Astyanax mexicanus: one gene and its partner. The protein of the gene in region 1 purifies or fractionates together with the protein of each later gene. This does not show direct contact. Links are inferred from orthologs where the notes say so. Each region holds a gene or a part of one and is shown on either strand. Other genes may lie near its edges.

Evidence for each region. The genes of interacting proteins can lie anywhere in the genome.
Region 2: the proteins of vdac1 (region 1) and atp5f1c fractionate together in Homo sapiens (co-fractionation; 3 studies listed by BioGRID, with this or other methods). This does not show direct contact. The link is inferred for Astyanax mexicanus from reciprocal best matches to the Homo sapiens genes VDAC1 and ATP5F1C.

The regions. Positions count from the first base shown.
Region 1 is NC_064424.1:47,953,002-47,956,758, reverse strand, and holds the start of vdac1 (voltage-dependent anion-selective channel protein 1), read left to right. Parts: upstream 1-792; 5' UTR 793-920; intron 921-3,130; 5' UTR 3,131-3,133; coding exon 3,134-3,200; intron 3,201-3,757. UniProt on the Homo sapiens protein: Non-selective voltage-gated ion channel that mediates the transport of anions and cations through the mitochondrion outer membrane and plasma membrane.
Region 2 is NC_064409.1:21,092,026-21,095,782, forward strand, and holds the start of atp5f1c (ATP synthase subunit gamma, mitochondrial), read left to right. Parts: upstream 1-1,128; 5' UTR 1,129-1,198; coding exon 1,199-1,239; intron 1,240-1,740; coding exon 1,741-1,775; intron 1,776-3,477; coding exon 3,478-3,609; intron 3,610-3,757. Other genes in the region: kin (DNA/RNA-binding protein KIN17), read right to left, coding at 91-204.

The DNA of each region.
Region 1 (3,757 bases):
CTCAAATTAAATATAATGTCCAATACTCCAGAATATTCCTTTAATTTGACCAAAAAGCAAAGAAAATTACCTGTATATTACATTTCTCTACAGTGAACAGGTTTCAGTAAAGATGCTGCATTACTGCTACTGTGAGCTGATTGGTTGGTAAGTTTAAGCTGGAAATACAGACAGAGCTTTTAAAAAAGTTTAAAAGCTTTAAAAATGTGTGCAATAAAACATGTGATGCAGTTCTGTGGTGAGGAAACGTGTTTTTCATTATAAAAATGATCAAACATTTATAAACTGTGATTTTTCTGTAATGCTCCATATGAACCCATTCATTTATACTCTGTATAGTATAAAAGTAGGTTATCTATACTTTACTGCCGTAATTATTTTACATTTTCACACAATTATCTGAACTTTCTACTTCTTACATTTTAAAAAACAGCCTCGTTACTCCTGTTTCATTTCAGCTGGTTTTCATTCCGGCTTCTCATCATTCAATAAAACTCCTATCCAGATAAATCTCTCCATCCAGATAGAGTGAATCTGATTCTGATTGGATGTAGAGAAATATAAACATATACCATTCCCACTCCCTATTGGTTTAACTGTGATCCATCACACCTGCACACAGTTTTTGAATCCAGTACTTTTACACTTTTACTTAAAGAGTAAAAAACTTGAGTTGATTCTTCAACTTCTACAGCAGTATTTGATTAAACTTTAGTATCTATACTTCTATTTACAGAGTGATGGATGGAGATGGGGATTCTCCTGGGTAGAAGGTCTGTGGCGGTGCTGCAGATGTTGTTACGCGGACAGCGTGACCTCTCCTCTCCTCCTCCTCCCTCCATCTCTCTCTCTCTGTCTCCTCCCCCCATCCTCCTCTCCTGACTGAAGACTGCAGGCCGGGCGGAGAGGCTGTATCTGCGGTAAGCTCCAGCTCCAGGTTTATGGTTGTTACCGGTTACACGGCGCTGTTAGACCGCACTGCCCGCAGCCCGGCTGCGCTCCGCGGGGTTTAGCGGGAAACCGCGGCCGCAGCGCGGGGCTGAAGCTGTCGGTGGCGGCGGGGTGATGTGCAGCCAGGCGGGTCCGCGGCCTGGTAGCGCGGTGCTGCAGCCCGGGGATGCCCGGGTTTGGGCGGTGAGACCGCGGGGAGGGATTGGGTGGGTCTCCTCCTCTGCGTTCATCCCCGCGGTCTTTCTGCTCCAGGCCGGACCCTGACCGCAGCTCAGCTACCCGGGTAGCACAGGTCTGTAATTCCGCTCCACAAAGTAAAAATCCACCCCGGGATCTTTTACTGCAGCTCACCACTGATCTACTGAACCAGAAACCTGGGTGGATTTTTACTTTGTGGAGCTGGATCACTCATCTCTAACTAGCGGCTGTGGCTAACGGAGCCCAGCGGGCAGGGAGCAGGCAGGGAGCGGGGTGATGCTGCGGATCTGCCCGCCCTCAGTAACCTTCATCACACACCGCGATATTTAGAGAAGAGACTCGGGGATGGATGAGTGTGTGTGAAGGAGAGAGAGAGAGAGAGAGAGAGAGAGAGAGTGTGTGTGTGTGTGTGTGTGTGTGTGTCTGTGTGTGTGAGTGTAAGGGGGGGGGGGGGGGGGTCTTTCTCCTTGACATTGTGAAGGCTGTACACACTGCTGTGTTGCATCAGCTCAGTTTATTCTTTCTTCTAGTGTATAGATTAGTGTATAGATTCATTTATATAATTAATATATAATACAGGTTGAGAGTATAAACCCTGCTGTAGTAAAGCTGTAGATCTGCTGCTGCTGCTGTTAAACTCGGGCTAAATCTAACCCTCCTCTCCCAGCTTCACCTTCACACTCCGGATCTGAACACAGGCCTGTGTTTAAACTGTGCTTCTCTAGTGTGTTTTTAGACTTATTTAACTCTAAAAATACTAAAAAAAAGCTCCATATTAGAGCATGTTCCCGCTAGAAGTCCCAGTGCATGTAGCGTTACCGTATTTGGATAGCATAAATCACTGTATCATGGTAAAGATATGGAAATGAGAGGTCATACTGCTTTTGGATTTTTTTAAATAATATTTGTAATTTTTATTATTATTAGTTTCCATTTTTATAGTACACTTTTTTTAGCAGTGACAGTGAGACCGGATTTTAACAAATTTATTGTAAAAAAACTAAATAATTAAAAAGTGTAGGTCAGCGCATGCGCAGTGCCTTTAGGAAGCACGTATCGATGGGTAGCACAACTCGACAGAACACCCGGCTCTCTCCTCCTGCTTTTAATAAACTACTTATTCTTAAATATTCGTATATATATGATATAATTATAAAATATAATTCTAAAAATAAAACAATTTACACACACATTTATCCCCTGAACGCAAAACATGGATTGATCCATTTCTAAATATTTTGTTTTATTTTTTATTAATTTGCTAGAAATTAAATTAGAGGAGCAGTCCATTCTCTTATTTAAATATCCATGTAGTTGAGTTTTAACTCAAAAGGAGGAGTTTGTCAGACAGGGGTTAGGCCTAGTCTTAAACTGCACAGCATTTGGATTTAATCTGAATGAAGATCCATTTACAGGAAAGCATTTTAAACATGGAGGTTTTTAAATGTTGTTTATGTGAAGCGTTAACTCCGTGCAGAATGGGAATAGATTAGCATATGCTTAACTCTTAAAGCTTAATGAAAGCGTGGTGACGTGATTAGCTCACTACTACTGGAGTACAGGTCAGGAGCTCAGGGTTGTCGGATCAGATCAGTCAGTGATGGTGCCGCATGCGGTTCTATGGGGAGGTTCTATGCTGGTGATTCAGTGATTTCTGGTCGGGTTAGCTTTTTTAAACTGGTTCTCAGGTAAGAACTGACAGCAGTGTGGTTTAGATTGTGTTGAGAGTGAGCTGTAGTTTGTTGCTCTGTTGTGAGAATGGGTCTAATTGGCTGAAAGGAGAGCAGATGGTCAGATGGTTTCTCTATGGATCCATGTTCTGATGCGCCCCAGTGACCATTTACTGTTCCCATAATCCTCCAGTTATTATAACAGCACACATTCCACAGCGCTGTCTCCTCCACTTCAGTTCACACCGGGTCGGTTCCGGTTCAGTTCTGCGGTTCCTCTCAGTAAAGTATAATTCTGTGTTCTCCTGCAGATCATGGCTGTTCCACCGACATACGTTGACCTGGGAAAGTCTGCTAAGGACGTCTTCACTAAAGGATATGGTAGGAATTGGGTTTAGATGATTGGTTGGATTGTTGGTTGAGTTGGGAGCTGATCTTCTACAACATGTTTAAACACACCTCCAAACTCCTCCTTCAGCCCTGTTTGGACAGATTATTTATTATTGTTTACCTGGGGAGGGGAGGATGGGGAGTCATGTATTTTTGCTATTTTGTAAAAGTAAATAAAAACAAATTCACACTTCACACACAAACGTATCTCAGTATAAGTGACAGAGATGGGAGTGGCTACTCGATTTACACACTGCTTTCACCTACAGAGAACATAATGATAACCATTTTATAACCCACTTATAGTTTATTTAATTTTAGTTGTATTGGTTGAGGATGATGTACCAGTGTTTTAAAATGTACTCTGCACTAACTACAGAGTGATATACGGCTCTATATAACACAAACTATAACTTTCACAACTGTCTGTTCAAATTAAATGCAATTCTACTAGGTTTAATCCTGTTTTTATTGAGTTAATGAATCAAAGCTGTGCTGTGAAGTGAACCGTGAGTTTTCTGTATTGTAACTGTAATTATAAAAAAAAA
Region 2 (3,757 bases), on another chromosome or scaffold:
AAAACCGTACAGAAACTAAAATAAAAATAACACTAATATACCTAAGCTAACTAACAGCTACTTAATAAAGGAAAACTGTAGTTAACTCACTTCATCTCGACACTGTTTCTGGCACATCTGACAGTACCAGCGCAGCTTCTGCAGCCCTTTAGCTTTAATTCGGTTCCCTATCGCTTTAGGGCTCAGGAAATCCGCCTTTCCCATGTTCAACCCTGACTACACACCTATAAACAAAGCGTTAATTTACTATTAAACTAAACTAGTTAACAGTTCCAGAGCCCCGTTCCTGCGTTTCTGTTCTGTTCTTCTGCCTCGCCGCTTCGTGTTTGTGTGTGTATGCGCTCTACGTCATCACTTCGTGTGTATCTGTAATAGCTAGAGAACAGAATGAATCACTCCATTGAATCGGTTCCTTTCAATTAGTCAAACCTTTTCAATTTTTTTACCCAAACTGTGAAGCTTTAGTAAAGATTTCTGTTGTTTACGACTAAATTATGGACTGAAGACTTTTAATACGGTGAGTACTCTTAATAAGTATTTTTTCCTTCAGTCTGATGTTTTAATTTAATTTAATAAAATATAACGTAATTTTCTCCATTGCGCATCAAAAACAGCACATAGCTTCATTCGACGAAAAGGGGGATTTTATATAATCCTACACATTAAATGTATATACAGTAAATAAATATTCATTTCAAATCATAATAAAAAACATCATTATAAATGTACAGAAAACGTCACCTAAAAAATCATAATCTAAATTAGGAAACTTAATTAGAAATGTAGTTTTGCAAATGTAATGTACCTGTATGTTTTCAGCAGATATAAGTAGGTTTTAAGCCTGATTTAAAAAAATAAGCTTTAAATAATATTAAATGTGTGTAAAATAACAAATAATCAAATATATATTTTTTTAATGGTTGATATGAATTTCCCCACAGATTGACTTTTTAAAATAATTATTAAATATTCATAAATGTAATCCACAGTAGTATACCATTTTGATTTTTTTTATTAAACGTTTAATATATTATTAAAGTGAGTCGATTCAAACGTGAATCTACCGTTTTTGAATAAGAACCTGAATCACCTGAAGAATCGGTTCAGTAAACTGAGTCGAACGTCAGCCGGATTCGACATTTTGTAGGCGCTGTACGCATGCGCAGTGCGGCCAGTCTGACCTTCATTGGAAGTGAACATGTTCTGCAGGGCCAGCGCGGTGGTGTTCCTCCCACAATGGTAAAGCCTTTAAAACTCTTCATTTTTACATTTTCTGATTAATGACATTGTGTAAAGCAGTATTACTGTGCAGTGAAGGTGTTCAGGGCCCGGTTCTGTCTGTTATTCGGGTCAGAAGCTCGCAAGGACGAGCCGGTCCCGGTAGGCCTCAGTAGCTTAACGTCAACGGCTGGATTAAGCCTGAGAGTGTGAACTTCACCAGTCTGAGTATTATAATCAATATTAACCCTCTGCATTTATCCACTGCCCTATATTACCCAAAATATAATAAAATAATTAACACACGGGTTTACATAGTTAAATAGCTGTGTAAATTGTAGTTGGGTTTAGCAGTTTGACCTGTTTGTATTAGAGCTACACATGCTTGATGACTGCTTCATATCATCTAGTATTAGGGCCTAAATATATAGATAGTTTAAGTGTAAAATGTAAGTGATGCTGGTCCCTATAAGAAAACTGAAGCTGTTTAATATAACTGATTGAATCCTCTCCTTGTTGCAGTGGGCAGGTCAGGAACATGGCTACCTTGAAGGACAGTAAGTAAACTAAAGCATTTATATTTATACATACAGAGATTTTCATTAAACATATAATTATCTATTTTAGTTTGGGATGCAATGATGTGGGAATTCTGTACAGATGCATATATCTGATATACACACTGATATGTCTGATACACACAGACTACACATCAGTATAGCTTTTATGACTTTATATCTAAATACTACAAATTAGTTGTTTGTGCTGCTGTTAAAGTGTTTTAAACTGTACAATTTTAAGTAGAAAAAATAGCTGAGGGATAATTGACTTAAAAGCTCCTTGTGATGAACCTCAGTCAGTTGATGTACTGTATGTATTTGTATGTAAGGACTTTTTTTTAAAGCTGCATATTTATTTACCTAAAAATTACAAAGCATTTATAGAAGATGCAAAATACTTATTTTTATTGCAGTAAAATAACTTATTTACATTCTGAAAATTTGAGGCCTTTAAAATCCAACTGGACACTTGAGCTACCTGTTCATGCTCTACTCCACTAAATAATTCCAGGTCAGTGACAGGAATCAAACCCAAATTATGCATGTCTGAAAATGTAAGGAATGTTTTGGAGGAGATGAACAGTTTCATTTATATTCAGGAAAATATTGATTTTAAAATGAAGTTTAGGAATAAAACAATTTTAAGATTTTATTCGTTATATTTTGACATATTTAAGTAAATATTTTTTAAATATTTTCTATTACAATTACAATTCTGCTTTTCAGTAATGTTCCTTATAAAACATTAAAGCTTTTTTTGTAATGTTAGAATAGAAATCCTCAAGATTTAGAGGTGTAATGTCAGGCAGACAGTTGACAAAAATCTTGGCATATTAGGTGATATAAATATTAACCTTTAGTAACGTGTTTTTTTTGTATTTTGTATTTTGATCAAAAGTTTACTTAGTTAGTTTCAAATAAAATAAAATAGTCCAAATAAAATGAAATGCTGGTTTTACATTTTAATACGATTTGCCATGAGACTTTTATTGTGAAACCCAAACTGGCAGGTTAGCCATAATGCTAACTGATTTCTGAATTGAATTAATAGCTATTGTTTGATAACAGATGGATAGCACTGTGCTGTTTAGATTAGTAGGATCTGTGGTTTAATAAAAAAGTGGATTATGGCTATATTTCACTCCGTTCTTTAGTTATTGACCACAGAATGCTGGAATGCTAGTTTACAGCTAACTTTAGCAGTAAGGACTGGAGCATGTTAGCCTGCATGCTAACTGTTTTCTGAGATTAATGAATGGCTATTTTGTGCTGTCCTTAAGATGTAACTTTGCTGGCTAGTAGCTACATATGGACGGTTCTACTGTTTGATATGACATGTATGATGTCTGTACTGTATTACTCTGGTCTTCAGTTATGAAGTTCAGAACTCCTAGCAGAGCTGTTCTGTTTGCCCCCAGTGAACATCACTGTAGCCATAGTGCCATAGTAGCCACAGTGTTTGGTCCTTTTCCAGCATACAATTCATGCTTTAGCGAGGACCAGGTTGGAAATAATGGGAGGAAAAAAGCATTTATCAGCAATTACTGATATAATTCCGATATCATTGTGCATCTAATGTTATTCAGTTTAATTGTGTTGATTTGCTTGCATGTAACATCTGTTTTATGGCATATTGACTGACTGGGGGTATGACCCGGTGATGCGTTTTTGTTCATTTCTTTTCTGTTTTGATCTTTAGTCACCATTCGGTTGAAGTCCGTCAAGAACATCCAGAAGATCACCAAGTCCATGAAGATGGTGGCCGCCGCCAAGTATGCTAGGGCTGAGAGGGCCTTGAAGCCAGCTCGTGTCTATGGCACTGGTGCTCTCTGTAAGTTTCCTTGAATAGATTTAGCCTGTTAATTGCAAAATATCTCATTGCTATAACATCAGACTATAATCCACCAATGAGACCTGCTGACAAATCACAAATGTGCAGAATGAGTTTCCCAAACTCAAATAATCTTGACAGTATGGTG